3 linked regions of the Pelodiscus sinensis genome follow. The protein of the gene in region 3 binds, or shares a complex with, the protein of the main gene of each other region. Links are inferred from orthologs where the notes say so. Each region holds a gene or a part of one and is shown on either strand. Other genes may lie near its edges.

What was found.
Region 1: the proteins of TUBGCP6 (region 3) and MZT1 are in contact, whole or in part, in a crystal structure (PDB 6M33), measured with the Homo sapiens proteins. The link is inferred for Pelodiscus sinensis from reciprocal best matches to the Homo sapiens genes TUBGCP6 and MZT1. Residues at the interface, in NP_065194.3 of Homo sapiens: Met1, Ala2, Ile4, Leu7, Phe8, Asp10, Leu11, Cys12, Ala14, Leu15, Pro17, Ala33, Leu37, Val40, Ala41, Ala44, Leu45, Asn48, Ile70, Leu73, Lys85, Arg88, Leu89, Leu92, Val93, Glu95, Leu96, Leu104, Leu105, Ser109; in NP_001065243.1 of Homo sapiens: Asn17, Ala20, Val21, Thr24, Val27, Leu28, Glu30, Ile31, Ser32, Ile34, Leu35, Asn36, Thr37, Leu39, Glu42, Thr43, Leu44, Ile46, Cys47, Arg49, Leu50, Cys51, Glu52, Gln53, Ile55, Asn56, Pro57, Glu58, Ala59, Leu60.
Region 2: the proteins of TUBGCP6 (region 3) and TUBGCP4 are in contact, whole or in part, in a cryo-EM structure (PDB 7QJE), measured with the Homo sapiens proteins. The link is inferred for Pelodiscus sinensis from reciprocal best matches to the Homo sapiens genes TUBGCP6 and TUBGCP4. Residues at the interface, in NP_065194.3 of Homo sapiens: Leu312, Thr313, Ala315, Gly316, Arg317, Ala319, Phe320, Phe323, Leu326, His327, Glu349, Pro390, Glu391, Ser392, Ser395, Leu396, Glu399, Tyr403, Ser455, Leu456, Leu457, Thr458, Gly460, Phe461, Lys464, Lys465, Arg468, Arg471, Tyr472, Glu475; in NP_001273343.1 of Homo sapiens: Met1, Ile2, His3, Glu4, Leu6, Leu7, Ser10, Gly11, Tyr12, Pro13, Gly14, Ser15, Ile16, Gln29, Phe31, Pro32, Phe33, Leu34, His35, Pro36, Glu38, Thr56, Ile59, Glu60, Thr63, Val66, Gln67, Gln68, Ile84, Arg87.

What each region holds. Positions count from the first base shown.
Region 1 is NC_134711.1:269,166,445-269,176,321, reverse strand, and holds the start of MZT1 (mitotic-spindle organizing protein 1), read right to left. Parts: upstream 4,666-9,877; 5' UTR 4,534-4,665; coding exon 4,485-4,533; intron 1,131-4,484; coding exon 985-1,130; intron 332-984; coding exon 308-331; 3' UTR 1-307. Other genes in the region: BORA (protein aurora borealis), read left to right, coding at 9,875-9,877. UniProt on the Homo sapiens protein: Required for the recruitment and the assembly of the gamma-tubulin ring complex (gTuRC) at the centrosome.
Region 2 is NW_027465934.1:448,960-458,836, reverse strand, and holds the start of TUBGCP4 (gamma-tubulin complex component 4), read left to right. Parts: upstream 1-3,776; 5' UTR 3,777-4,149; coding exon 4,150-4,227; intron 4,228-4,822; coding exon 4,823-4,951; intron 4,952-6,401; coding exon 6,402-6,524; intron 6,525-7,595; coding exon 7,596-7,649; intron 7,650-8,566; coding exon 8,567-8,623; intron 8,624-9,657; coding exon 9,658-9,737; intron 9,738-9,877. Other genes in the region: uncharacterized protein LOC142825186, read left to right, coding at 1-235. UniProt on the Homo sapiens protein: Component of the gamma-tubulin ring complex (gTuRC) which mediates microtubule nucleation.
Region 3 is NC_134711.1:37,235,014-37,244,890, reverse strand, and holds the start of TUBGCP6 (gamma-tubulin complex component 6), read left to right. Parts: upstream 1-3,451; 5' UTR 3,452-3,766; intron 3,767-5,037; 5' UTR 5,038-5,121; coding exon 5,122-5,868; intron 5,869-6,933; coding exon 6,934-7,097; intron 7,098-9,877. Other genes in the region: polyamine deacetylase HDAC10, read left to right, coding at 43-53. UniProt on the Homo sapiens protein: Component of the gamma-tubulin ring complex (gTuRC) which mediates microtubule nucleation.

The sequences.
Region 1 (9,877 bases), about 230 Mb from region 3:
TATTTGACAGACTGTTTATAAAAGTAAAGCTCAGGTTTATAAGGAATACATAATAATGCTAAAAACTACAGTCTGTAAAACAAGGACAAAACAAACAATGAATAATATTAGATAAGTCATATGCCTTTTCACTTTTCTATAAAGCCTTACACTTTTATATTTCATCCTTTTATAAAAAAAAGATTACAGATTTTTTTTTGAAACCTGAATATACAGGAACTTGATTCTATATTTCTGAATAGCAGCCAGTCTTCAAACCTCTGTTAGCTTGACATTTCTCTCATCAAAAAGATCCTCTCCCATGAAGTCAACTTGTCATATTTTCAGCAGCCTAGAAAGATAAGTATAATTCATTATAATAAACTGAGAATAGATACTGTGGAGCTAAAAATCAGGAATAACACTTATGGTTATTTCTTGCAACTACTTTTATTTTGTTAATAATGTTTAAATAATTTGTAGAAAATAAATCACGTGATATTTAATCTTAATACGCTGCTTAAATGGCTCTTTTATTGAATATTTTCATTTTAACAATTTCTCACTCTCACTATCCTTCTTTTATTAATTTATCCATCACTTGACAAAATATGACACAAGGATGCCAAGTATATAATTCTGTCAAGGACCTGTAGTCTGGACTTTTTGCACTGACTCATGCAGGTGGTGTTCAGATTAGGGCATGTTTCACTACAGACCCATGCACAGTCATGTGGTTACACCAACTTGTCAAGTTGTAAACAACAACAAAAAGGCTTTGTCTACACTACTGGTTTGCTATCTGCAGATTCCATGCTTTGGACCAAATGCAATTAGCAATAAAGAAAGAAGGCAACAGGATTTATTTCCTAAGATTATTTTATTTTATTTGAAATGCAAGGGAAATGTAAAATTCCATATGACAAGTTGAAAATGCAGTAATCTGAAATTCGATTTGCATTAATTTAAAAAAGACAGCTGCATGTTTTTCATAAACTGCCTTACCTTTAGTGCTTCTGTAGCCTTGCGTAGTTCTTTAATTACTGAAGATAAGGCCTCTGGGTTTATACCTTGCTCACACAACCGTACACATATAGACAGGGTTTCCATATCCAAACCAGTGTTTAATATTCTTGAAATTTCAAGCAGAACTGCGACAATTTTAAAAAAATTAAAATTGCTTTGTTAGATAAAAGTTTAAATAAGATTATTAAAATCATTTATTTTTTAAGAGTGGGATTTTCAAAAGCTGAAACTCTGTGGATGGTGACAATGGAAACACTGCACATTTCCCTCCATCCCCTCGTTTGAATCCCAACTGTAACATTTATAATCACCTTCCCTATGTGAGTCAGCAGTCTCAGTCTTCAAACTCAGATACACATTTACATTCTCTACTCTGTGATTCTCCATTCACTGAATCAGTATGTTATTTGTTTATTATTCCTGTTAAAATAGTTAACATGTCCACAGACTACAGTAATATTTAGTTTGTAGTCTGTAATTTTAAAACATTCTAAAATTGTAATAATAATTCAAATCTTTGCTCATTAAGTGGAAGGTAGGAAAGAAAACAGGAACAAATGAATGATTATAACAATATCATTTTGTATTACACTGATAGAAATGTAGCCGTGTTAGTCTGGTGTAGCTGAAACAAAATACAGGACTATGTAGCACTTTAAAGACTAACAAGATGGTTTATTAGATGATGAGCTTTCGTGGGCCAGACCCACTTCCTCAGATCAAATAATGGAAGAAAATAAATAGTCTCAACCATATATACCAAAGGATACAATTAAAAAAAATGAACACATATGAAAAGGACAAATCACATTTCAGAACAGAAGGGGTATGCGGGGGGAGGGGGCGGAGGGGGAGGGAGGGAAGGAAGGTGAATGCCTGTGAGTTAATGGTATTAGAGGTGATAATTGGGGAAGCTATCTTTGTAATGGGTAAGATAGCTGGGGTCTTTGTTCAGCCCCCTGCGGAGAGTGTCGAATTTTATCATGAATGCCAGTTCAGAGGATTCCCTTTCAAGTGCAGATTTGAAAGTCTTCTGAAGTAGGATGCAGGTGATTAGGTCATTGAGACAGTGTCCTTTCTGGTTGAAATGGCAAGCAACTGTTTTTTCTTTGTGATCCTGTCTAATGTCTGTTTTGTGGGCATTGATTCTTTGGCGAAGTGTCTGAGACGTTTGTCCAATGTACATAGCAGACGGACACTTTCGGCACATGATAGCATAGATTATATTTCTGGAGGCGCAGGAATATGTATTCTTGATTTTATAACTCACTTGGTTAGGCCCAATAATGGTGTCAGCAGAGTGAATATGTGGACAAAGCTGGCAACGCTGCTGCAGCCCAAGTAGCAGAGCTGGGGATGTGGCAGTCGAGGTAGTGGGCAGGGGCTAGAGATATGGCATCCACAATAGTGGGGCTGGAGAAACAGCAGCCTCAGTAGTGGGGCCGGGACAAACTGGGCTGCAGCAGTGTGGCTAGGGCCAGCAGTACGGATGGAATGGGATCTGGGGAGCTGGTAGCAGGGGACTTCCTCTGCTCCGGCAAATTCTCTCATTTGGGACTGATTAGGTCCCAAAGGTGCAGGAACGGGGAGGTCCAAACTGTACTCCGTTTCAAAGCTCTAATTATTATAGAGCAATTCAAGGTTTAGTTTTCAGCAAGACTCCCTGACAACACTAATTTATTTATATTAAAAAAATATTACTCATGTTTCTATAATCACAAAGAAACAAAGATTTCCAAAAAGGGACATAGAAATGCTATTTCACTGCTTCCAACTTTCTGCAAAGTCAGCAAATGGCTGGCCTGATACTTAATGTACTAACCTTGACATGATATATAGCTCATAAATACATAAAGTGTTTTTCTGTGGTACAAATTTATTGCATATTGAAAAAAATAAGGCTTTTTAAATAAAAAAAAGCTTTAATAAATAGGATCACCCACACATATAAAAAGGCCATTATGTTCAACTTTAGGCACTCATTTTTAGGAGTCTATATCCATAAATAGGAACCTGGAAGGTGGCCTAATTTTCAGAGGTGCAAAGGACCCAGAAGACCCCAAAGTCAATGAAACCTGCCAACTGTTGACACCTTTTGAATTTTGAGTTCTATTGACACGTTCTCCTTGACTAACTTATGTGGCTGCAATCTGTGATGAAAAACTGGAAAATACTGCAGTATATTTTGAAGTCAGAACACTACATTTAACTTTTAAAATCAGCTTTTAGTACGTATTTCCTGGGCATACACAATTTCTGATTATTTTGTTCTAATGGATTTTTTTTAAAATGGGAAAGTAGTGTTCCATAGTTTCAGCAGCCTGTCCATTGGGAGCTCGGACCCACCGTGGACAAGGGCTGCTGCCACCCCTCATTGCTGTCTCTGTATCAGAGACAGCTGCATGAGATAACAGGCAGCCATTCTGTGTGGAGAGCTGTTTTTTAAACTGGCTCTCCTCGCAGACCGGCTTCGCGAAAGAAGCCAGTTTAAATACAGAGGCAGCAGTCCTGGAAGTCTGGCCCTGCCCTGGGGACGACAGAATAGTCGACTTAATCACTAAGAGTTCATGTGGTTAGTCGCCTGTTCTATTACACGTATCTAACATCCCTCGTCCATAGCACTGAGCCTATGCATACTACACCGCCAAACAGATATTTTCATCATAACAATAATAAAAAATCTTGGTACTTTACAGTTTTCTGTTTTCATGTCAATATTTACATCCTGTTCCCCATCCCTCAAAAAAAAAAAGTTTAGAGATCTATTTGATTAAGGAAATGTACTTCCATGTTTAATTTGTGGACATTACAAACAGGAAGACAATAAATAAAGGAAAGAATATTCAATTATTTTGCTACATCTTACAACTGGAAAGGGGAAAGTAATTTATCACAAATGTTCGCTTTCGTGCAACATTAACGCCCAGTTCTACATTGAGAAGTGACTTTGAAAAAAAAAATCGTCAGATCCCACACGTATTGGATTGTCATGGCCCCACCCCTTCCGCCCGCGGCAGCCAAGGGCCATTTCAAAAATCTGAGACGTGGCCCCCGCTTCTAGAATTATTGCCCATCCCATAATAGACTAGTGGTTGTACCCACTCGCCCAAGTTGCACACACGTAGCCGAGAGCGTCACTTCATTTAAGAGAGGGAGTCAAACCCGGGGAGCCCTCCCGGGGAGAAATGCCGCGCTCTCCGGAGCACCCGGCTCGCCCGAGGAAAAGTCACTTTCGCGCTGTTTTTTCCCCGAACGTGGCGTTCTCGGAGCAGCCCGCAGGAGCCACTGCCGCGCTTCCTCCCCGGCCCGGGCAATGCCCCCGCGCCGCGACCCCGGGCAGGGCCTCAATTGCAGGCTCCGGCAACATCCCTACACTCCGGGCGCCGCCGCCACAGAGCGCGCGATAGGAAGCGGGGCGCCCTGTATTAGGCCCGTGTGCAACCGGGCACCTGAAGCGACCGCAGCCCCCCCGGACTCACCGTCCATCGTTTCTCTCACCGCGTTCAAATTGGCTGCGCTGCTCGCCATAGCGACAGGAGACTAGGCGCGAGACCTCTAACCCGGAAGGAAACTGGCTCCTTCTCATTCTCATTCACACACGGGCACGCCAGCAGCGAAACCTCTCCGCGCGCGCGGCTGCTCGCCCTTGATTGGCCTGCTCTGTCACCCTGAAGCCCCGCCCCGCTTGACTGACTCCGCCCGCCGTGATGTTTTGAATAGCTCAGTCTCCCTTACAACTGGAGAGATGTAAGGGGGGAGGAGGTACCCGTTCGAATTTGTGAAGCGGACCGGTGCTGATTGGTCGGTTCGAGAGTGAAGGCGAGCCGCGGTTGGCTGGGCTTGAGCGCCGGCGCGCGACGATTGGGCAGCCGCGGTGAAAGGGGGCGTGGCAGTTAAAGCGCTTCCTCGCTTGTCGTCCTCCCCCCCCAGCACAGGCTGAGCGCGGACGCGAGAGGAAGCAGGAGTTTAGCCATGCAGACGCCGGAGTGAGGCATGAAAGCGGCGAGGGGTGCCCGGCGCTGCCCGGCCCAACGGCGGCTGCACAGGGACCCGCGGCTGTGACAGGCCGAATCCCGCGAGCACCGAGCCTGTCGTTAACTCGGGCCCCGAGCTTGCGGGGCGCGCGGTGCCTCTGCTGGCGCTCGCGGCTCGCCTGGCGGGCTCCGCCACGCTGGTGCTTTCCCAGGGAGCCGGTGGCGGAGCGGATAAGGCTGTGAGTTTCCCGCTAGAGCCCGGGCTATCCGCGGGGCGGAGGGAGGGGAGCAGAGGGTTGTTGTGAGACGAGAGACCTCGGGCTTGATGATCGAATGGTCCTTTATGGTCATAAACTCCAGGGCATTTATTTTGCCCCAGTTCTAGCCTCAAAATGCCGGTAAATAAACGTAAGTAAACAAGGGGTGACCGTCAATGGGGGCTTCGGATATACTGGCCAGGAAAGGTCCTTCCAGGAAATCACATGCCTACAGAACCGGAGTAAATCCCTGGTAGGAAAGTCAAATTTTCCTCTTTCTTAGGGTAAAGAAACATTATTCTCTAACTTATACATAGTTGTTAAATCATTCAAAGGTTTTAATAAGTTTTCTGTAACAGATGAGTACCTGCCTGGCTATCTCAAACTTCTGCTTCTCAATTCCTGCTGTCTGACTTGCTCTACTTTCCTGTTACTTCCTCCTCTGTCCACTTTTCTGATTTTCCTTTTTCTGAAATACCATACCTTCTTTCAAGTGTCTTGTCTCTCTCTTTTACTTAATCATAAAGTATTTCACTTACATTACAAGATAATTTTAAGATTATCTTCTCTGTGTGAAGCAACTTTTTGAATGCTACCTGCAAGTTTTTAATGCTTTCAGAAATACTTCAGTAAAATAAGAGCTGCATTATTGCCAGTTGGTCTTTCCTTTCTGTCTCTGCCCTTTCTCTTGGCTTTGTTCTGATTAATTATCATAATCACATACTTAAAGAATAGAATACAAATTGGAATGTATCAAGCATTTTGCATGTCTTCTACAATTTCAAATATATTGATTTTGGGTATGCAGAATACAAAGTGTATGGCATTCATTGTTTATATTATTTTATTACAATATTTGCCTTGTGAAAATGATAAATAAAAGAAATAGTATTTTCCAGTTCACCTCATGTAAGTACTGCAGTGCAATATCTTTCTCCTGAAAGCGTAATTCACAAATGCAGACTTCTTTTTTACATAATTGTGCTAAAAATGAAACAATTTAAAATTTTAGAGCCTACAAATCCACTCATTCCTAAGACACAACTTAATGCTTTCCACTTCTTATTGGAGTTCACATGCTGCTTTTGTAGCTGGCATTGCAAGGTAAATATGCTAAACCAGTAGTTTTTAAACTTTTTTTTCTCATGACCTGGTTGCAGAAAATGTTTGATGCCCATGACCCAGCATAATTTCACTAAAGCCGTGGTGTCCAACACACTAGCTACTAGAGGCTATTTGTCCAGTTGAGTGTGGCTAGTTTGCTATAGCAGTAGCCTTCATAGTGACTGCTGCTTCAGAACTGGTGTAACACCACTGGGATGGGAGTGTGGGCTGTGGGGCTAAGGATGAGAGCTTTGAAGTGTAGGAAGGGGTTCCAGCTTTTGAGGGGGTCAGGGCTGGTGCAAAAGGGGCTTACCTTGAATAGCTCCTGGTCAGTGGTTCAGGCGGAGTGCTAACACAGGCTTCCTGCCTCTCCTGGCACTGCAGACCATGCTGTGCCCCATTAAAAGATGGCTCCCAGCTGAGGGGAGTGTGGAGCTAATACTCGGAGCAGTATACAGAGGCCTGTGTGCTTTCTTTCCCCTCCACATAGGAGCTGGGCCTGCTGCGGTACAGTGCAGTCTGCAGTTAGGAGAGGCAAGGAGCCTGCCTTAGCATCACTGCTGGTCACTTGATCACTCTGTAGCAAAGAAACCCAGTGCTCAACATTCCACAACACAGTACTGGTCCCGACCTGTAGTTTGAAAACCACTGTGCTAAATATTGGCATACCCCTTCATGCTTTGGCTGCCATTCCAGAGGCCATGCTTCCATGCTGATGGTGGCTATTAAACAAATTACATGTGTGACTGAACTCCTTTCAGGATAATTGTACCGTATATACCGGCGTACAAGATGACTTTTGATGTTAAAAAAATCCCCCAAAAATCTGGGGTCGTCTTATATGCCGGTTATACAGGCGGCAGGGCATCCCAGGCACGCCTGGGCTGCCCCGCCGCCGGCTTCCCCCAAGGCTTTGCAAAGCCTCGGAGGGGCTCCGGCGGCGGGGCAGCCCAGGCGCGCCTGGGATACCCCCCCCCCCCGCCGGCTTCCCCCGAGGCTTTGCAAAGCCGCGGAGGGGCTCCGGCGGCGGCTTCCCCCGAGGCTTTGCAAAGCCGCGGAGGGGCTCCGGCGGCGGGGCAGCCCAGGCGCGCCTGGGCTGTCCCGCTGCCAGGCATCCTCAGAGGCTTTGCTCCCGGTGTCCCTGGTCTGCTGGGGACCGTCTCCAGCAGACCAGGGACACCAGGAGCAAAGGAGGCGGAGGGGCGCTGGGGTATAAGACGAAACCCTATCTTTTAACTAAAAAATTAGGGGGTCGTCTTATACGCCGGAAAATACGGTATGTCTCCTGCTCTATTTTACCATCATTTTGCCATACATATTATAGTAGTCTTGGATGAGAACCCAGCGTATATTGGACATTTAAAGAATATTTTCACTTGCAGATTTGACAAAATGCAAAGAAGGTTCCAATGTGTGACTTCTAAAGATGCAGTAACTTCTTGCGTAATGTTGTAGTTGTATTCCCTGCTGCTGTAAGCGAAATTATGTGAAGCAAATCCAATTTCCCCATAAAATTAATGTCAATAGGGAGAGTTAGGTTCTAGGGAAACTTTTTTTCAGGGATAAAAGACAATATAGACATATTCCATATACATTTTAAACAATTGAATACTGTACATAGGAATGATTATTGTGAAACATGATTGAGGTGATGGAGTAAGGAATGGAATATTTCCTACAAGAATGACTTCCTACTAAATGATTAACAAGCATTTTGCTGAGCCCTCAAGGATTATTAATTGTTAAGGTAGCCTCACATTCTAAAAGGGTGCAGGGGCTGAGGTAAGAAACACAAAAGATGCATGGCAGTGGCTGTATACGCTTCTATGAACATGAAGATGAATCAAAGCTATTTTACTCTCCTCCAGGGCTGTACAGTTGCCAACTTTCCAAAGTGCCCAGGAGGACTGTTTCGTGTGTGTGTGTGTGCGTGTGTGTGAGAGAGAGAGAGAGACATGTGCACACACACTTTGGCTACATCTACACTGGCCCCTTTTCCGAAAGGGGCATGCTAATTTCACAGGTCGTAATAGGGAAATCCGCGGGGGATTTAAATATCCCCCACGGCATTTAAATAAAAATGTCCGCCGCTTTTTTCCGGCTTTTAGAAAAGCCGGAAAAGAGCGTCTACACTGGCCCCGATCCTCCGGAAAAAAGCCCTTTTCCGGAGGATCTCTTATTCCTTACTTCAAAGTAGGAATAAGAGATCCTCCGGAAAAGGGCTTTTTTCCGGAGGATCGGGGTCAGTGTAGACGCTCTTTTCCGGCTTTTCTAAAAGCCGGAAAAAAGCGGCGGACATTTTTATTTAAATGCCGCGGGGGATATTTAAATCCCCCGCGGATTTCCCTATTACGACCTGTGAAATTAGCATGCCCCTTTCGGAAAAGGGGCCAGTGTAGACGTAGCCCCCGAGTGTGAGAGAGACAGAGATGCACAGTGTGCCTGTGTGTTAGACAGAAATGTGTATTGTCCCTTTAAGTACACTGACCCCACTTCAAGCATATTGCCCTTTTAAGAACAGTAGAGTAGGAAGTTCACACTCAAGTATCTGTAGCTGTTTGTAATCTGCTTTGTGGGGATAGGGTACAGAGTAGAGGTTTGGGGAGAGGGAGGAGACATCCTGACATTAGCGCCCCCTCCTCCTTCCTTCCTTGCCCCCTCCACACAGCAAGCAGGAGACTGAGGTGTGTAGCTTGCTTTCAGGTGTCTTGAGGGGAAACTCTCAGATGCAGAAACTACAGAACCCATATCACCAAAACAGAAAATCAGTCTTCTGTTGGTGGCATCTGACTCTGATGATGAAAATGAACATGTGTTGGTTCACACTGCTTTGGATTGTTCTTTAGCAGAGCCCATCTTCATCATGGACACTTATCCTTTGGAACAGTGGTTGAAGTAAGAATGGACATCTGAATCATTAGTATATCTAGCACATAAATATCTTGTGATGCTGGCTACAACAGTGCCACACAAATGCCTGTTTTCACTTTCTGGTGAAGTTATAAACAAGAAGTGGACAACACTATCCTCTTCAAATGTAAACAAACTTGTTTGAGCAATTGGCTGAACAGGAAGCAGGACTAAGAACTTCTAGACTCTTTTACATTGTTTTATTTTTGAATGCAGTCTTCTTTTTTAAAACAAAATTCTGGATTTGGAAGCTCACTGTTCATCATAATAAGATTGCACTCTTGCATTTGTGTGGTGCATCGAAAAATACTATTTCACTTTTTACAGTGCAGGTATTTGTAATACAATAAAGGGAGCACTGTAGACTTTTGTGTTTTAATTGAACTCACTATATTTGAAAATGTAGAAAACCTCCAAAGATATTTAAATAAATGGTATTCTGTGATTAACAGCACAATTAACTGCATGATTAATCACGATTAATTTCTTATTTTTTAAATTGCTTGACAGATCTAAAAATATCATTTCTCAACTTTTCCTTAAACAAAATGTGACAAAAATGAAAAATGTAGCTTCCTAAATTATAACTGAAACCTTGTTTTCTTCTAGGTGCACCTTTGGGCTATG
Region 2 (9,877 bases), on a different chromosome or scaffold from region 3:
CAGCTCCCAACTTATACCTGTCCAACACATTATCAATAGATTACAGCCTATACTGGAACAGGACACTAAACTCCAAGAAGCTCTGGGAGACAGACCCATAGTCTCCTATAGACAACCACCTAATCTCAAGATGATTCTTACCAACAACCACAGGACATACCACACTAATACCAACCCTGGTACTTTCCCTTGCAACAAAGGGAAAGTTTGTTTGTCCACATATTCACTCTGCTGACACCATTATTGGGCCTAACCAAGTGAGTTACAAGATCAAGAATACATATTCCTGCGCCTCCAGAAATATAATCTATGCTATCATGTGCCGAAAGTGTCCGTCTGCTATGTACATTGGACAAACGTCTCAGACACTTCGCCAAAGAATCAATGCCCACAAAACAGACATTAGACAGGATCACAAAGAAAAAACAGTTGCTTGTCATTTCAACCAGAAAGGACACAGTCTCAATGACCTGCTGACCTGCATCCTACTTCAGAAGACATTCAAATCTGCACTTGAAAGGGAATCCTCTGAACTGGCATTCATGCTAAAATTCGACACTCTCCGCACCGGACTTCACAAAGACCCCGGCTATCTTACACATTACAAAGACAGCTTCCCCAATTATCACCTCTAATTCTATTAACTCACAGACATTTCCCCTTCCCCACCTCTAATATCATTAACTCACTGGCATTCACCTTCCTTTCCCCCCCCCCCAAATCCCCCTTCTGTTCTGTAATGTGATTTGTCCTTTTCATGTGTGTTCATTTTTTTAAAATTGTATCCTTTGGTATATATGGTTGTGACTATTTTCTTCCACTATTTGATCTGAGGAAGTGGGTCTGGCCCACGAAAGCTCATCATCTAATAAACCATCTTGTTAGTCTTTAAAGTGCTACATAGTCCTGTATTTTGTTTCAGCTACAGCTAATTAGTTTGCATCCTCTTCCTGATTGGATGCTCCCTTTCAGTTCCTTTCTATACCATACTAGCACTGCTCCCTTTTTGGGGCAGGGTGTGGTAGGCTTCAGCAGGGGACCTCAGGGTCTGATACATCCAGTCACATTCAACATTCATGATTTTATAAACCTTTCTCATATCCCCTCTTAGTTGTCTCTTTTCTAAGCTGAACAGCTCTAAACCTTTTAGCCTCTTTTTATGTGGAAGCTGTTCCAAACCTTTGATCGTTTTTGTTGCCCTTCTCTAAATCTTTTCCAGTTCCACTATATTTTTTTCAGATAGAACCACCAGAAATGAACCCAATACGCAAGAAATAAATACACTATTGACTTATATAGTGGCATTATATTTTCTGTCTTATTTTCTATCCTTTTCCTCACAGTTCCTACCATGCTGTTAGCCTTTTTGATCACTGGAGCACACTGAGCTGTTTTCTCTTCAGTGACTCTTTTTTGCAAACCCTGATTCCAATTAAGAAAACTGAAAAGACTTAAAACATCAGAATAAGATGATAGCAAATAATTGTCTTTGCACAGAAAACTGTTGATAAACAAAAAGTTGGTCCAGTAAGTGTCCAAGATAACAGAATGGGACTGTATGCCCCAAAGCTGAAGGAGCAGTCTGAGTTTAGGACTAATGTGTTCTTTCTGGTAAAATCTCATTCACCCATAAAATAGAAAATATACTTCTATATTGTGATTCTTTCTAAAATGAACATTTCCTGCCCAATGAGCCTCTATATTTGTGTCAATTAATTGCATGTTTGATATTCAGTGGACTGTCACAATGCATTACAAATCTTAACAGTAATACTCAGTGGGATGCTAGACAACACTTGAAACTTGGATGTAGGCTAGGGTTGTGAAACCTTACAATACACCAAGCAGCAATGGATTTGTAAATCTCAATACTCAGTGTTTGTTTAATCAGATTAATAAGAAAAAAAAGTCTACTGACAGAGAAACAACCCAAACCAAATGAGGAAAAAAAATTACCTGTTAGCTGTTTGGTAGTCAGTTCAGGTCTTAAATTAACTTCAAGTTCCCATGAAAATCATACACATCTTGAGAAAATGAGTGTTGAATCTGAAGAGAGGAAAAACTCAGAGGTAGCATCTTGCTAACTTGTCTTTAAGACAAGTGACTTCTTTCCTGGTACCGACAATAAATGTCTATACATGAAAAATAGTTACTCCCAGCTCTGTAAAACCATCTTCTCCGTCTCCGTGGTTTTGGCTGTAAGCTCTTAGGGAGCAGAGACTGACTTTTATGTAAAATACAGTACAGAGCACACTGCTGGCATTAAATACTTTACTGAAGTTACAGTGTTGTCTTGTAAATGAATTCAGCTAGTAACAGGGTGCGTCTAAACTGGCAAGATTTTGCGCAAAATCTTGCTGCCTGTCTACACTGGCCACGAGTATTTGCGCAAGAACAATGACTTTGTACTGTACCAAATCAGTGGTTCTTGCACAAATACTTTGACGCTCCCGCTCAGGGATAAGCCCTTTTGCACAAGTATTCTTGCGCAAGAGGGCCAGTGTAGACAGGCAAGTTAATTTCTTGCGCAAGAAAGCCCGATGGCTAAAATGGCCATCAGAGCTTTCTTGCGCAAGAGAGCGTCTACACTGGCCCGGATGCTTTTGCGCAAACGCACCTGTGCCAGTGTAGACGCTCTCTTGCGCACATACTTTTAATGTAAAAACTTTTCTGTTAAAAGTATTTGCGCAAAATCCTGCCAGTCTAGAGGCAGCCACAGTGCGTAATGGCAATATTCCAGTTCCTAGGCAGAGACAATTCCCTCAAAACTCCACTCCCTGAGCCTCGCTTCTTGGGTAGAAAAGTGCAGCCCCAGACACTTCCGAAGAGCAGCGCTGCACCGAGCTTCAGCACAAAGACTCCACAGCGGCCCCGCCTCAGGGCAGCGCTGGGCGAGTCTCAGCTCTGCCTCTCGTGCTTACAAATCGCCCCGCCCGCGGAACAGCGCTGCCCCAGGGCCCTTCGGGGGGGGGGGGGATCGCTCCGCGCTCGAGCACTGGCCGGTAACCAGACCCGGGGCCCGCTTCAATCTCTGAGGGGCCGTTTCGGGGCCCGCGCTCAGTCTGTTGGGCGGGGCGGGGCGGGGCCAGGCGAGGTCTGGCTCGGGGCGGGGCCAGGCGAGGTCTGGCTCGGGGCGGGGGCGGGGCCAGGCGAGGTCTGGCTCGGGGCGGGGCCAGGCGAGGTCTGGCTCGGGGCGGGGGCGGGGCCAGGCGAGGTCTGGGTCGGGGCCGGGCGGGGGCGGGGCCAGGCGAGGTCTGGGTCGGGGCCGGGCGGGGCGGGGGCGGGGCCAGGCGAGGTCTGGCTCGGGGCGGGGCGGGGCCAGGCGAGGTCTGGCTCGGGGCGGGGGCGGGGCCAGGCGAGGTCTGGGTCGGGGCCGGGCGGGGCCAGGCGAGGTCTGGCTCGGGGCCGGGGCGGGGCCAGGCGAGGTCTGGGTCGGGGCCGGGCGGGGCGGGGGCGGGGCCAGGCGAGGTCTGGCTCGGGGCGGGGCGGGGCCAGGCGAGGTCTGGCTCGGGGCGGGGGCGGGGCCAGGCGAGGTCTGGCTCGGGGCCGGGCGGGGCGGGGGCGGGGCCAGGCGAGGTCTGGGTCGGGGCCGGGCGGGGCGGGGGCGGGGCCAGGCGAGGTCTGGCTCGGGGCCGGGGCGGAGCCAGGCGAGGTCTGGCTCGGGGCGGGGCGGGGCCAGGCGAGGTCTGGCTCGGGGCCGGGCGGGGGCGGGGCCGGGCGAGGTCTGGCTCGGGGCCGGGGCCAGGCGAGGTCTGGCTCGGGGCGGGGCGGGGCCAGGCGAGGTCTGGCTCGGGGCGGGGTCTGGCTCCGGGCGGGGCGGGGCGGGGCCGCGGGCCCTTTGCGAAGCGGGAACCGAGGCCGCTCCGAGCGAAAGAAAGAGACGGTCCTCGCGCGGCGCAGGGCAGGCGGGGCGCTGCCCCCGGGACGAGAGACCGGGCCCGGGCCGGGGGGCTGCAGAGCACGAGCTGGGCAGGCGACCGGCCCGAGAGCGCCCCCGCACGCCTGGGGCCTCGCTCCCGTCGGGCTGTGCGAGGAGCGGGACTACAGGTCCCAGGGGCCTTTGCGGGAGCAGCCGCTCCCGTCGGGCTGTGCGAGGAGCGGGACTACAGGTCCCAGGGGCCTTTGCGGGAGCCCGCTCCTAGCTGCAGGATGATTCACGAGCTGCTCCTGGCGCTGAGCGGGTACCCCGGGGCTGCCTTCACCTGGAGCAAGAGGAGCGGCCTGCAGGTACGGCTCCCCCCTTCTCCCTGCAGGGGCGGCCCCCCTCTCCCTCCTCTCCCCCTGCAGGGGCGGCCCCCCCTCTCCCTCCTCCTCCGCCCCCCCCCCCTGCAGGGGCGGCCCCCCCCTCTCCCCCCCTGCAGGGGCCCCCCCCCTCCCCCCCTGCAGGGGCGGCCCCCCCTCTCCCCCCCTGCAGGGGCCCCCCCCTCCCCCCCTGCAGGGGCGGCCCCCCCTCTCCCTCCTCCTCCGCCCCTCCCCCTGCAGGGGCGGCCCCCCCCCCTCCCCCCCTGCAGGGACGGCCCCCCCTCTCCCTCCTCCTCCGCCCTCCCCCCCTGCAGGGGCGGCCCCCCCTCTCCCCCCCTGCAGGGGCCCCCCCCCTCCCCCCCTGCAGGGGCGGCCCCCCCTCTCCCTCCTCCTCCGCCCCTCCCCCTGCAGGGGCGGCCCCCCCTCCCCCCTCCTCCCCCCCTGCAGGGGCGGCCCCCCCTCTCCCTCCTCCTCCGCCCCTCCCCCTGCAGGGGCGGCCCCCCCTCCCTCCTCCCTCCCCCCGCAGGTGCGGTCCCCCCCTCCCGCCGGCCCCGCGCTCACCCGGCCCCGCTCCCCGCAGGTGTCCCAGGAGCTACCGTTCCTGCACCCCAGCGAGAGCAGTGTTCTGAGCCGCCTCTGCCGCCTGGGCACCGACTACATCCGCTTCACCGAGTTCATCGAGCAGTACACGGGCCACGTGCAGCAGCAGGTGGGCCGGGGGGCTGCCGGCGGGGCCGGGCCAGCGCTACGCTTCGTGAGCGGCTCTTGCCCAGAGGCGCCCGGCGCAGGCCCCTTCAGCGATGCAGTGACAGCGGTTTGCGGGGGCGGTGCACAGCCCCATTCCACCGTGGCTGCAGCAAGATCTGGCGGGAGAAAGCAGGGCTGTGAGAGGTCCCTTGGGTCACTGTCAGCATGGTCCTCAGCCGGCTGGAGCAGCTCCCTGTCGGCTAGAGGTTGGGGGATGCGCCAGCCCCACAAGGGACCCACCACTCACAGAGGCTGCTCTTTGGGAAGAAAAAAAAAGTGCAGTTTTTTTTTGAAAAAGCGCACTCACATGAGTGCAAATGAACTGCAAAATTTGCAAATCCGCATTTCATTTGAATTTTTTATCTCCTTCATTTGCATTTCTCTTTCGAGAGAGGAATACAGTCTAAACGAACCCCAGGACTTTAAAAGTGTTCAAAAAGAGTTAGATTGATTCATGGAGGTTAGGTCTGTCAATGCTTATTAGCCGGGATGGGTGAGAATGGTGTCCCTAACCTCTGTTTGTCAGAGTCTAGGAATTGGCGACAGAGGAAGGATCACTTGATGATTTTGTTCTGTTTGTTCCCTCTGGGGCACCTGAAGGCCATTGTTGGCGGACAGGATTCTGAGCTAGATGGACCTTTGGTCTGTCTGACCCAGGCTGGTCATTCTTATGTTCTTAGGGATGTCTGTAAAATGGATTAAGATACATTTGTGAACAGTTCACTTCAGCACAATGGAACAGTGAAATTTACAAATGGCCACTGTATTATGCAGTCTTCTATCTCAAGAGTTCCTTATTTGTATATCCAAAGGGACTGAATACAATACTGCTCCATCTTTGACAGCTGACTCATGTCTGATTAACAGTTGATTTTAATGGTACCTTCAGTGAAGGCTAAAACTATAAGGCTACGTCTAGACTGGCATGATTTTCTGGAAATGCTTTTAACGGAAAAGTTTTCCGTTAAAAGCATTTTTGGAACAGAGCGTCTAGATTGGCATGGACGCTTTTCTGCAAAAGCACTTTTTGCAGAAAAGTGTCCATGCCAATCTAGACGCTCTTTTCCGCAAAAAAGCCCCTATCGCCGTTAATGGGTGATGCTTACTGGATAACAGTTAACTGTTACTCAGGAGCAGGCCCCATGGCTGCCCGCTCATATGAGCTGCCAGCCCCATGTAAGGCTGCTGATTCCCAGCCCAGCACAGGGTGCTCCAGCCCACCCGTGTTTACTCAGTTAAGTTTAACCGGTTAACATTTAACCAGTTAACTAATTTAAACAGGATTTTACATCCCTAGCTGAAGACTGAAATTAATAGAAGGTAAGTTCCTAAATATCTCAGGTATCTGGGCCACAGTCCCCAGTTCACTCACCAATGTCCTACGGCTAATGCAAAACTATTTGATTTTTTAGGACCATCATCCTTCCCAGCAGAATCTATGTGGATTACATGGGATTTATTTGCGGGCCTTCTGTACAGGGCTCGATTCAGTGCTGCAGCCCTATCGACAGGCGTTGCTTGACCTGGAGCAGGAGGTAAGGGAGAGAACTGGAAGAACTTGTTCAGTGTTATGAGCTGAAATACCATGCAGTGGAAGCTTGTCTCCAATAACAAATAAGCTAACAAGAAGCAGACGATGGGATGGAATCTTTGATTTCCACTGCGGATATTTTCTAAATTGCTGCTGTGAAGTTCCATTATAACCCACTGGTCAGTGTGTTACATGTCCATTCTTTGCTCCTTCACCCCCTCCCTCCACATGTCTGACCTACAGAGAGTGAAAATGTCTCAGTCCTCAGATCCTCGTCCCTCAGGCCAAGCTGTAGAGACTCATTGTATAGCTGTTAAGGCCCTTGGTTAAATCCATGGTGCATCAACCAAGCTGGTAGGCATCACGTCATCTCTTGTGTAGATTCACTTTGAGTCACTGAAAGTGAATTAAACGGGCTGCATCATAAGTAACAGCCTGCGGGGGGATGTAACTCAAAAGTCTCTCAGCTAAGCATGTTAAATTGCAGTTGTCTGGCTGATTGTGTAGTCGATACCGACTAATTGTGTGATATTTGTAAAGGGCCACTATGCAGAGTCCCGGTGGGGGTAGTTCCTGGGGCCTCTGGGGGCCATCTGCACTGCACCTCTGCATTTTAAGAGCCATGGAGCTCTTACTACATTTAAAATGCAGAGGCACAGCATCCTAGACTAGTGTGAGCTGGCAGCAGCCCCTGGCCGTGGTCAACCTTGGCTACTGTGAACTGGTGCTGCCAGAACAGCCTCCTAATTCCCCCCTCCCCCCCCCCGGATTAAAAGCAGCAGGGTAGGGAGGCAGCACAGCAGAGATGGTGCTGAAGGGAAACCAGCTTTTGAGCTGGCTCCTGCCTCTTCCCCTCCCCCGCCTCCCATACAAAGGCAGCAAGTGGGGTTTGGGGGGAAGGGAGTGAGTAGTCAAGTACTCCGCTTGACTACCCACTAACATCCCTACTCTGGTAAGGTTACTGGGACTTTTTTCCAAAGCATCTGAGGGTTCATTTTGCTCTTTACCTTTTTACACCTAGGTTTAGTGCTATTGATTAGAGACTTATTTTGCTTTGCATTAACTTTTGTTACAGTTCCTGGCTGACCCTCACCTCTCCATTTCTCACATTAACTACTCCCTGGATCAGGTATATTGCATTTGTTGTCACCTTACTATGGGCATATATAACATGCGCAGTGTTGCAGAGCTACCATTGTTACTAGAACTTTATATTCTGAATTGCTGATGTTTGTACACTTAACTTCTGAGCCTTAAAATTGTATTAGTGCCATCTTTTGCCTTAATATATAGGATAGTAGTACATGTAAAAAATAAATTTTCGTTTCCAATTTCCATCTTCGTGCAAAATTGAAATAGCTGATAGTATGTATCACATTTAAGAAATATCAGAAAGCTATAGCCTGCACTTGATTTTTAAACAGCTCTAGCTCTCAGACTACAAACCAGTTTGGTTTTTTTAATGACTTTTTCACCATGGAGCACAACTGTTGGGGTGATGTGCCTACCTGACAGAATCTTCTTGACTGTCAGTTGCGGAGGCAAGCATCACTGCCTTGTCAGGAATGTAAATAGCTCCCCCTTGAACCATCCATCAGTTTCTGTCTGCCTCCAAAAGTCCCATTTACAGTTTAGCTGCAAAACAGGAGGGAAGCCAGTGTGACTCTTCCTATCCTCAAATTGGAGTCTTCTCAATTTATCATCTTGAGCAACTTCAGCAGCAGCTAGAGAGTACTTTCAGCACATTGGCACAACTCTTGTCATCCGTTACAGCCTTAGACAGTGACCAGAGAATCTCGAGATAAGCCTCACCTCTAGTTGTTGACATTAGGGTAAAGTAGCATCACCTTATCCTGGTATAATCATCTCATCTCTATGCAGAAGCCATGGTCTCCCTTCCAAGTATATCCAAAACACGAAGTGGGGCCAGTGAGGTGATAGACTGGTAAACCACTACAATTAGCTGCTGTCTGTACTAGCCCCAAACGTTCCCTCTTCACGTAGGAGTACTTCGTCTAATTTTACATCTTGTTCTTTGCTTTGCAGTTCCAACTCCTCTTCCCCTCGGTGATGGTTGTGGTGGAGCAGATCAAGACCCAGAAGGTATAGTAAGTGGGAGCTGGATTCTCCTTAGTAGAATCTGTTGTTTATGTCCATTTCCTTTAGTTAAAATGATCTGAGTATCACCAGATATTTGACAGAGCCTGAAGGAAATATGCAGATGATGCTCCTCAGGAAACAGTTTTTCTTTTCAGACTTTGTATCTTTCTTTGAGACTGCATGGGTTGGGCCAAGGAAAGATTTTAAGGATCAGCAAGAAATAGGTGCTATGGTGGTCAGAACCATCCATATGTGCTCCTGTAAATGGGCAGATTATCTAATGGCTCTGGATTAGTTTCTCATTGGTGTCAGTGCAGCATCTAGGACACTGCTCATTTGGTGTCACTTACATAACTAGTTGGAGAGACTAAGGCAAAAAAAAAATCATATGGTGGACGTAGCCCAGCAGCATGAAGCTCGTACTGATACCAAATTCCCTTCTTTTCCCCTTTGTAATTTACAGAAGATGGGGTGGGGGATGTGAGTTGGCAAGGCTGTAATTGGAGTTGGTCAGAATGAAATGATGCGCATTTCTGTGGTTGGGAGAAGAGATTCTGAGACAGGATTAAATGGAGACACAGAGGGACAAGTATGGAGCAAGGATGCAAGAAGGTGAGCTGGAAGAGGGGACTGCAGAGAGCCTTTGTCTTAGATCATGTTTAATTCACATGTAACACTCTTGCCATCTTTGTTAGTGATGGATTTCTTGAGTCTTTTAAATCCCAAAGATGAAGCAGGATTTCTGACTTGAGAATCCATTAAATTAAACTGTACTCCAGTGTGTAACAGGATTATGGGATATCTTGTATACTGGAGTCCACAAGTTTGCTGGGCCCTTTGGGTATGAAGGGAGAGTATAGTTCCCCTTTTCAGTTCCCTTCAGGACCTTTGCTTCCATGGACATTTCCTTGTCTTTGCAAAGCCTTCTTCGTTCATTCAGCTGTTGGGGTAGCATTTGAACGTCTGAAATTTGGTATAACATCACATGAAGACTTCTCTCTGCAAAACCAGTTTGAACATTTTGTTTCTTCTCCCAGATTCATGGCTGTCAACTTCTGGAGACTGTCCATAAGCACAGTTGTGGTGGGCTGCCTCCTGTGCGTAGTGCACTAGAAAAGTAAGGAGATTCATTAATATTACTGCTTGGCTAGTATGCTCTCGTAACAGCTAAAGTTCATGCTCAAATGTCTCTTTTCTCAACCTATAGCAAAAAGAGCCCTGTGCAATCTGAAAGACAGGAGTGGGGTGCTGGGCTGA
Region 3 (9,877 bases):
GTGTAGCTTGACTAATAATTGTGCTGATTTTTTTCTTTGTAGTAAGAGACTAGATTGTTGGAAACTGAAGTCACTTGACTAGCTCTATCATTTGACACATTTCGTCATAACAGAAAGAAAAAAATTGTCACTTTTGGTTTTCTTTTAAATCAGTAAACGAAGAGATTATCATACTATGGCCACAGCCATTTACAATTGTGTTATGACTTTTTATTAAATATTTTTGTTTAAAAAGGCCACATTTTTAGCTGAGAGCTCTTGCTGTGAGTCTGCAAATTGTGCATGTATGAAGTTATTCATGCAAAACCTGCATTTACATGTAACTCCCTATCAAATGATTTTGCTGCTTTTAAATGCATGTTCTATCCGGGATAGCATTTACCATATTAATTCTCTTGCCATACCCAGCATCTTTCTATATGAATTCCAATGGTTGAATGCTGTAAATTTGTGGTATCTAGCTCATACTGAAATATTCATAATTTTAAAAGTAGTTTGTTAACAGGAACTTTGTTTTTCATTCTTCACTCTCCCAATTAAGATTGGAAATTAGTAGGGTCTGTAAATGATAAAAAAAGAAGTAATTAAAAGAATAAATATCAGTTTTAAAAATAAAGCGCTTTACTAAGAACTATTTTAATCTTCCAAGCAATGGAGAGATTGTATGTTTTCTACATATAGGAATATTAATATTTTATCATGATTAAGCACAATGAACAAGGTGAACATTTGAAAATGTATAAAAATAGCTACGTTTATGTGGTGACATAGCTCAGTTGTCAGCGTAAAACTAATGCATCTAACAAAATGAGCTCAGGGTATTAATTCCAGATCCCAAAATATAAAGCAGTGCCTTTTTTTACTTATCTCTACGAAGTCTATTCCTGTCACTTGGATTGAAATACATGGTAGATATTTTATATGTGATCTTTCATCCATGTTTAACTTGCTCAAGTCAAAAATAAGGTTATCAAGAGCTGAGCCACAGAAGGAAGAGACTAGCCAGCTCTGAAAGCCTCAGCCCCAGCCAGACTCCCAGGGTTAGCGTGCTCCCTGCTATGGAGAAGGGAGCCTTAGAGCCCGAGGCTCTAATTGTGTTTTATTGAAGTTTTGCCAAATATGCAACACATTTAACAAAATGGTTTGGTCTCGTGACTCATCCTTTACTGAAAATTTATGAGTAGCCCTACTCATAAGTTGCTTAGGCTTCTCTTTGATTTAGCTGCTTTTGAAAATTCTACCTAAAACAACTACTCATATGCTTAAAATTAAGTATATAGATTGCAAGATTGGGGCCCATGTGGGAACACAACATGTAACAGTACTTACGTCAAAACAATCTGAATATCACAACTTTAAATTGTAGTAATGTTCTATTAATATGGGTCACCATATAACTAGTCCTATTTTGGCTTCTGTAGCTCATACTGAATTTTGACTGGAGGTCAGAAGGAAGCAGTTTTCCATACTGTGAGAGCTTTTGAGATTTTGAAAACTTTTACTGTCCCAAATTGGGATGAAAATTCAAAATCTGATTCTCATGAACCAAAAAATTCATACCAGGTCAACTGAAACATTTACTTTTTATTTTGACTTTTTAAAACTATACAGAAACTTAAATTTCTAAACAAAAAGTTATTTTAATTGAAAAATTAAATAGTTTCAAATTTCAAAACTAATTTCATTTTTTCCCCAAAAATGGTAAATTTGTCTAAACCAACCATCTCCTTACAAAATGTTTTACATGGTCAGCATTTTCTGATGGCAAAAACATTTTGCTGAAGTTATACTTCCAGCCTGCCTTCATTAAATTGTAATATTCTGTAGTCAATGCTAGAATGACACAAAGATTTTTGTATTTTAAATTATTTTAATTTGAGCTCTTTATCAAACTAAATGGAATATTTTCAAGTACGATTTTTTCAGTAGGATTACTTTGCATATAAATTCAAAAGATTGTTTTTAAAGGTTGATATGTATTAGCCAACTATTACAATAAAAATTGTTTATTTCTGTACATTAACTGTCTTCCAGTGGCATTCTTTACTATAACTTGGTCTACACAAAAATATATTGGAAGTGTAAATGCTAAAAAGTGTAATGCAATAATAGCAATCAAACTAAAAATAAAACACCTACTTTAGTTTGAAAGGAAAATCCAATTTACGGTATTGATATAAAATTATCAATAAGGTGAGCCAAAACAACATACAGAGACTCCGGATGAGCTCCAACCACCTTCATCTGCACCTTTTGCAGAACCCCACAACAACCAACTACCCCTTGCACCTGGATCCCCCACACAACCTTGTTACCCTACACCTGGATCCTGCTGGCCTGACCTGTCACCTGGTGCTGAGGGACAGGATCCTGGGGTGTTTCTGGAACATGCCTGTCCCTTGGTGTGTGTGGGGTGGAGTGGAGGGGGGGGTGCAGCAGAGTGATCTGTGCAGCCAATGGCCTGTGCTCCCCACTGCCATGCCAGAATAGGGTTACCAGGTGTCCAGTTTACAACCAGCAAGTCTGGTTAAACGTCTAGTTATCTGCAGTAACTGGCCTCTGCTTCCTAGGGAGGACAGAAGAGCAGCAGGTGCTGTTGGAGCCAGCACTCCGGAATGGCTCCAGAGGAAAGAGGCAGTGGCAACTCCCTGTCCTCCACCCTGCCCAATTTCATTTGGGGTCTCTCAGAAGTGGGCCTCTCTCTCAGAGGCTACTGAAGCCAGACTGAAAGATTTCAGGGCACCAGAAGTCCAGGGGTGTGTGACGAAGAGAAGGGGCTGAGCCAGACTCCCTGCCTGCTCTGCTCTCAGAACCTTTGCATGCCAGGGGTGCATCTGCATGATGTTCCCACTCCAAGTGCCAATTCTGCAGCTATTAGCTGGGAACCACAGCCACTAGTAGTTGAGGGCAGTGCATGGTGCCACCTGCCCCCCCCCCCCCCACCAACTGGGAGCAACATAAGGTACCACCTGGCCAGAACCTGCACCCTTCACTACTTCCAGCACCCCAACCCCCTTCCTGCCCCCCAAATCCCCTCAACGCCACAACCTCCTGATTCAGCCAGTACCTCACACCTGAAACCCCTTCTCCAGCCCTGAACCCAGACCCTCATCTCCTGCACCCTAACCCGCTACCCCAGGCTTCAGCCCAGCTCTCCTTCCCGCACTGCGAGCCCCCGGGCTTCCGCTCAGAGCCCCTTCATACTGCAACCTTTTCCCGTGGCCTGGTGAGGGGGGCGAAACGAGAAATGAAGGGACGGGCGGAGTAAATGGCCCCTCACAGGAAAGGGGGCAGGGGCAGGGTGTTTGGGTTTGTGGGATTAGACCGTTGTTGGCAACCCTACAACCAGCCCCCCCCCGAGTCAGTGGGCCCTACAGCCCTGGGCAGCTAGCTGGGGGAGGCTGGAGAGGCGCTGGCGGGCACGCTGCAGGCAGGCGCCGCCCGTGTATCTACTGCGCCTGCAGCTCCCTGTCTGCTCCGCGCAAGCCGCCCCGCCCTTCGCAGCCGCCCCACACTTTCCAGCGCTAGGCAGCAAGGCGAGCCCCTGCCCCCCTCCTCCGGCGCCCCCGTGCACCCGCGAAGGGAGCCGAGCGCCGCCCGCTCCGCGTCCCTGCCCCGCTCTCCCCCTCCCGGCTGCCGGGCCCGTCGCTCTCCCGTGACGTCCCGAGGGCGGCGCCGCCGCGCTCTTGCCGGAGCCGGAGAGCGGGACGCGCGGCGGTCGCTGCTGTCGCGGCCCTGAGAGGCGCCTGGGGCTGCTGAGCGCGGGGTAAGGGCTGGGGCGGGGGCGTCACGCGCGGGGAGCTGCGGGCTGCCTCGGGTGTTGCAGGGTGGGGCCTGCCCCCGTTGGGGGAGGGGGCCAGTCACGGGGGGAGCGTGGTCTGGCTCGGCTCACAGTCACTGTTGGGGGGGGGGGGGGGCTGCACATCTTCGGGTGGTGGCCGCGGAGCCGGGCTGGGCTGGGCGCTGCTGTTCTTACGGTTGTGTGGTCTGCTCCTGCTTTTAGCGACTGGTACAATCGCCCCAGCTCTGTCTACACTAGCTCTCAAACTGTGACCGTGGCTGGAATAATTTTGCGCTCACACCTTTTTGACACTGTAAATGGAGCTGAGCTTGCTGCTGAAAGTTACCTTTGTTAATCAAGTTGTTGGGGGGGGGGGGTCTTTCCTGACAGGTTAGTATTGACAAGACACTGGGAGGTGCTAGTGCTTGACAGAGAAACACTCTCTTCATGTGATGACCTGGATTTGTTCATGTACCATGGCAGGGCTTTTTCTCTATGTGTAAAACAGGAGTGGTTAATAAGTGGCCCACAGGCTGCAAGCTGTTCATTAGGGATAGCCCCTGGGGGGGCTGCCAATGCTTTATTTACTTGTGCATCTGCAAGTATGGCTGCTTGCAGCTCCCATTGGCTTCAGATTGCCGTTCCCGTACAATGGGAATTGCCAGAAGCAGTATAGACCAAGACACCTCTTCCCACAGCTCCCATTGACCACGGACTGTCATTTCCAAACAGTGGGCACTGTAAGTGGCCCTAATCTTTGGACATGCAAGTAAATAGTGTCTGGTGGTCCACCAGGGGCTAACCTTGGTGAAAGGTGTGAGATCCAAATTAGGGTGTTTACGGGGATGTTAAATGGCAAGCATGAGGCTTAGTGGATTGCTTACTGGTTAACCAGCCCTTGCCAGTGAACTCTAGTGGCAACCAACCGCACCATGCTGAGCCAGCTCTGGAGGGGCCATCATCAAGCCAGGAGGTGGAACCCCCTGGCCATAGTGAAACCAGTGGTAGGACCTCATACCTGTTGCAGCAGGTCAGGCAGCAGTTGCTTATATAAATGGTTAAAACAGTTAAGCAGTAGGTAGGTGTTCTTGTATATGAAACAGTTTATGAAGTAGTACTTTGATTAGTTTGTGTATGTAACACTGTATGTGTTACAGTAACTGTATTTTAAATTTAAAGTTTATGAACACATACTTACTGAGGTTCTACTTGTGTAGTTAGTTACTAATGTCTTTTTCCCCCTTTGTATGTTCCAGGCCTTGAAATGGAATCAAAGACCAAAAATAAAGTTGTATATGCAATAAATTGACTTTACTGCAGCACCACTCATTTGTGTTGAAATGGAGAGCATTACACAGCTGTTTGGTGACTTGTGTGAAGCACACATGACAGGTTTGTCATGGAAGGTCCATCTAGGCGCACAGAAGATCAGCAAGAAAAGGGCTAAGCAAAATCTAAAAAAGATTGCATATAATGCCCTGTTCATGAACCTTTTTCAGGATGAGACCCGTAAAGTACAGTCAAACATTTCCAGACTTCCAGTGAAAAACAAAATTTTAATGCTGTCCTTCAATTTGAGGGTTGGTGGAATGGGTGCTCAAGCAGATAGGCTGGAGAAACTTGTGGAGGAATTGGAAACATCTAATTGTTTACCATTTACTGAAGTAAATTCTGTTCTGGATCTTCTTGTACAACTTGTAGGAACTGGTCCCCCTCAGCTTCTACCACAAAAAAAGGACTATTTTCTGAACAACAAGTATGTTGGGAGAAATGTTAAATATCAGGGATATGATTATTATGATGTGAGTGTATTTGAAGCTGATATACAGTCTTTAATTACAAATGAAGAATATCAGTTTAATGATACAATTCAAAAGACACTTCAGATAATGGAGGCTGCACCTGGCACTGGACTTCCTGCCATTGGATTATTTTCACAGAACTACCCTGTTGGTGACAAGTTTGAAAAAGAAACACGTGTCTCACTCTTTGGTGCTCTTGTCCATAGCCGTACATATGATATGGACATTAGGTTGGATCTGCCACCAGTACCTGACAATGCGGATTTGTCTGGACTTGCAATTAAAGTACGGGGTCTATTTATTTTCACTATACTTATTATTTTATTTCAGAATATAAACATTTCAAGTATTCTTTTTTTGAAATGTGTGTATATATATATATATAGAGAGAGAGAGAGAGAGAGAGAAATTTCTGGTAGTTGTATCAACATTACAAAGGTGTGGATTTAAAATATTTTTTCTTTTTCACAAAATAAGTGACACAGGTCTTGATCCCTCAAATTCTTATGATTAATGTGTCTCTTACCATTTCCACTAAGACTAGTCATATGCATAAACACATGCCTGATTTTGCAGGATCAGGGCCCAATCATGTAAAACTCTGAACATCTCAACCATGGAACTCTCACTGACTTTGTTATGAATTTGTTGTGCAACATACATGTAATAGGTATATGTAATAGATTTGACCTATTGGATGCAGGGTTGCTCCTAAGAATATTTAGCACTGTGTTTTCCAACCTGAGAGTAGGAGTACAGGCATGTAAAGAAAAAGAGTTGCCTCCTTTTACCCAGTATCTGACTGATCCCTTTCACTACAATGGATACTCACAGCTACAGGTAAAGTGGCAATGTAGCTCTTTAAGTGTGCCAGTCTTCCTTTCAAGTTCCTATCTTAAACCCAAATGAAAGCTGAATCTGCAATTTCTTTGTATAGGGCTGTAGATTCAGGGAGCAGCCTCCTACTCTATGCCCCTATTCCCACCACACTCAGCTCAATAGGCAAGAGCATACAGAGCCCCAGGGAAGGGAATTGCTACTGGACCAACTTCACACTAAGTAGCATGTAGCCTTTTCTATTACATGGGATAATTACAGGGGCAGGGGAAAAAAAACTACACAGCAACAGTCCACAAGAGGAAAAAAAGAAAGACTGAAAATTCAAAAAGCAAAAGATACCCATCCATAGAAACACATAGCAAAATTTTAGTTTGTATAAATAATGAAGCTCAAGTGCTTAAAATGAACATCAATAATTATTTGAGACCAACATCTAAATGCCATTAGCATAATTTTCTCAGTAAATGTTGCATCTGTGTGTAGAGTTTGAACTCTCATGATTATTTACAGGTTCCTCAAAGTATAGATCAATCAGAAGATGAGGGATTCCAATCAGCATCCAATCTTACTCCTGATTCTCAGTCAGAACCGAGCATGACTCCAGACATAGATCTCTGGGATGCTGTACTTACTTATGGACCCAGCAAACGAAGATGCTGGGAAAGAATTGGATGGTATGTGTCTGATGTTAAGATGCAAAATAACTGCATGCTTATGTATGATTTATAAGTATTTTAGTTGTAAGTGACTTTAATTGGTATATTCCTTGTTTGTTTATTCTGTCTGATTTGGGACATGGAGTTCAATATATTTGAACAATGGAGCTGTATTTTTGCCAGATGACAGTACAGTCAAGTTTAAGATAGTCAAGACAGAAGCAGACTGTAAAGAACTTCAAAAAGATCTCACCAAACTGAGTGATTGGGCAACAAAATGGCAAATGAAATTTAATGTGGATAAGTGTAAAGTAATGCACATTGGAAAAAATAACCTCAAGTATACGTACAGTATGATGGGGGCTAATTTGGCTACGACAAATCAGGAAAGAGATCTTGGTGTTATCGTAGATAGTTCTCTGAAAACTTCCACACAGTGTGCAGCAGTGGTCAAAAAGGCAAATAGGATGTTAGGAATTATTAAGAAAGGGATAGAAAATAAGACACAGAATATCTTATTCTGTATAAAACTATGACTATGGTATAAAACTATGGTATGCCCACATCTTGAATATTGTGTACAGATATGGTCTCCTCACCTCAAAAAAGATATTTTGGCCTTAGAAAGGGTTCAGAAAAGGACAACTAAAATGATTAGGGGTTTGGAACGGGTCCCATATGAAAAGAGGTTAAAGCGACTGGGACTTTTCAGTTTAGAAAAGAGGAGACTGAGGGGGGATATGATAGAGGTACAGGCAGTCCCCGGGTTACGTACAAGATAGGGACTGTAGGTTTGTTCTTAAGTTGAATCTGTATGTAAGTCGGAACTGGCGTCAGCCGCTGCTGAAACTGATCAGTTTCAACTGCAGCTGAATGTGGATGCCAGTTCTGACTTACATACAGATTCAGCTTAAGAAACCCAGTCGTCCCCAAGTCAGCTGCTGCTGAAACTGATCAGCGGCTGATTCCAGGAAGCCTGGGGCAGAGCAACTCTGCCTCGGGCTTCCTGTAGTCAGCTGCTGGTCAGTTTCAGCAGCGGCTGACTTGGGGACGCCTGGGGCAGAGCAGCTGGGGTGCTGCTGGGTTGCTCCAGTAGCGCGGCTCCTCAGCGCTACTGGAGCAACCCAGCAGCACCCCAGCTGCTCTGCCCCAGGCGTCCTGATTCAGCCGCTGCTAAAACTGACCAGCAGCGGCTGAATCAGGACGCCTGGGGCAGAGCAGCTGGGGTGCTGCCGGGTTGGTCCGGAGCGGCGCTGCGGGACCAACCCGGCAGCCCCCAGCTGCTCTACCCCAGGGGTAGGCAAGAAAAGCCTGGTCTGCTGGGAGGGTGGCACTAGCTGCATCCTCCCCCCCCCCCAGCAGACCAGGGGGACAGGAGCAATGCCTTAGAGCATGCCCGCAGCGGGACAACCCGGGCGCACTTGGGCTGTCCCGCTGCGGGCGTGCTCCGTGGCTTTGCTCCTATCCCCCTAGTCTGCTGGGGGGGTCCAGCAAAGCCGCTGGACCCCCCCCAGCAGACCAGGGGGACAGGAGCAAAGCCGCCCAGGCGGCGGGAGTCCCGCTGCCTGGGCGGCTTTGCTTGGGTGTCCCTGGTCTGGTGGGGGGGTCCAGCAGACCAGGGAGACCGGGAGAAGCTTTTCTCTCCCCAGAGGACACGGGTGGCAACCCGCCGCCCGTGAGCTCCGGGGCGAGAAAAGCCCCGTTCGTAAGTGCGGATCCGACATAAGTCGGATCAGCGTAAGTCGGGGACTGCCTGTATATAAAATCATGAGTGATGTGGAGAGGGCAAATAAAGAAAAGTTATTTATTAGTTCCCATAATAGAGGAACTAGAGGGCACCAAATGAAATTAATGGGTAGCAGGTTTAAAACTAATAAAAGAAAGTTCTTCACACAGCGTGTAGTCAACCTGTGGAGCTCCTTGCCAGAGGAGGCTGTGAAGGCTAAGACTATAACAGAGTTTAAAGAGAAGCTAGATAATTTCATGGAAGTCCATAAAAGGCTATTAACCAGGGGATAGAAATGGTGTCCCTGGCCTCTGTTGGTCAGAGGCTGGAGATGGATGGCATGAGACAAATCACTTGATCATTGTCTTCGGTCCACCCCCTCTGGGATAGCTGACTAGTCTCTCCCCGCCCCCCCTCCCACCTCCTGCTGCCTCTATTAGATAGAGAAAGGGGGGAGTGGAAGAGAGGGATAGTTTAAAGCAGCAGTGCCGCACGGAGCCTGGGGTTCTGGGTTCCATACAGTGCTGCTCTTTTGAAATGCCGCAGTGGCGTTTCAAAGGGGCAGCGCCAGGATCAACTGGAGTCCCCAGCTGACCCCAGGTGCCATGCGGTGCTGCCCCTTTGAAACACTGCAGCAGCATTTCAAAGGAGCAGCACCACCCTATCGACTAATCAAATAGTCAATGCAAAAATGCATCGACTATTCGATTAGTGAATTACCCGACACTTAACATCCTTACCCAAAATACGCTGAGCTCGCCGGGACACCTCCAGCTCCCTGCTCTGGGCTAGTTCCTATGCCGGTCCTCTAGCCGGAGTATTCCCCACCTGCGTCCTCCTGGCTGCTTGCCACAGTTGCTACGGCTGCTGTTGCTGGGCCAGTGGGGGTGGCTGCTCCTTGGTTCCGGCAGAAGCTCCTTCCTCTCACATGGTCAGCCCCAACTGAGCTGCTCCTCTGGCTTTTATACTGGGCCTACAGTTAGAGCATGCCCAGCAGGGGGGTCACAAAGGGCATGAACTGTGTCTTCCTATGGCTATGTCTACACTACAGAGAAGATCGAAGCTGCTACTG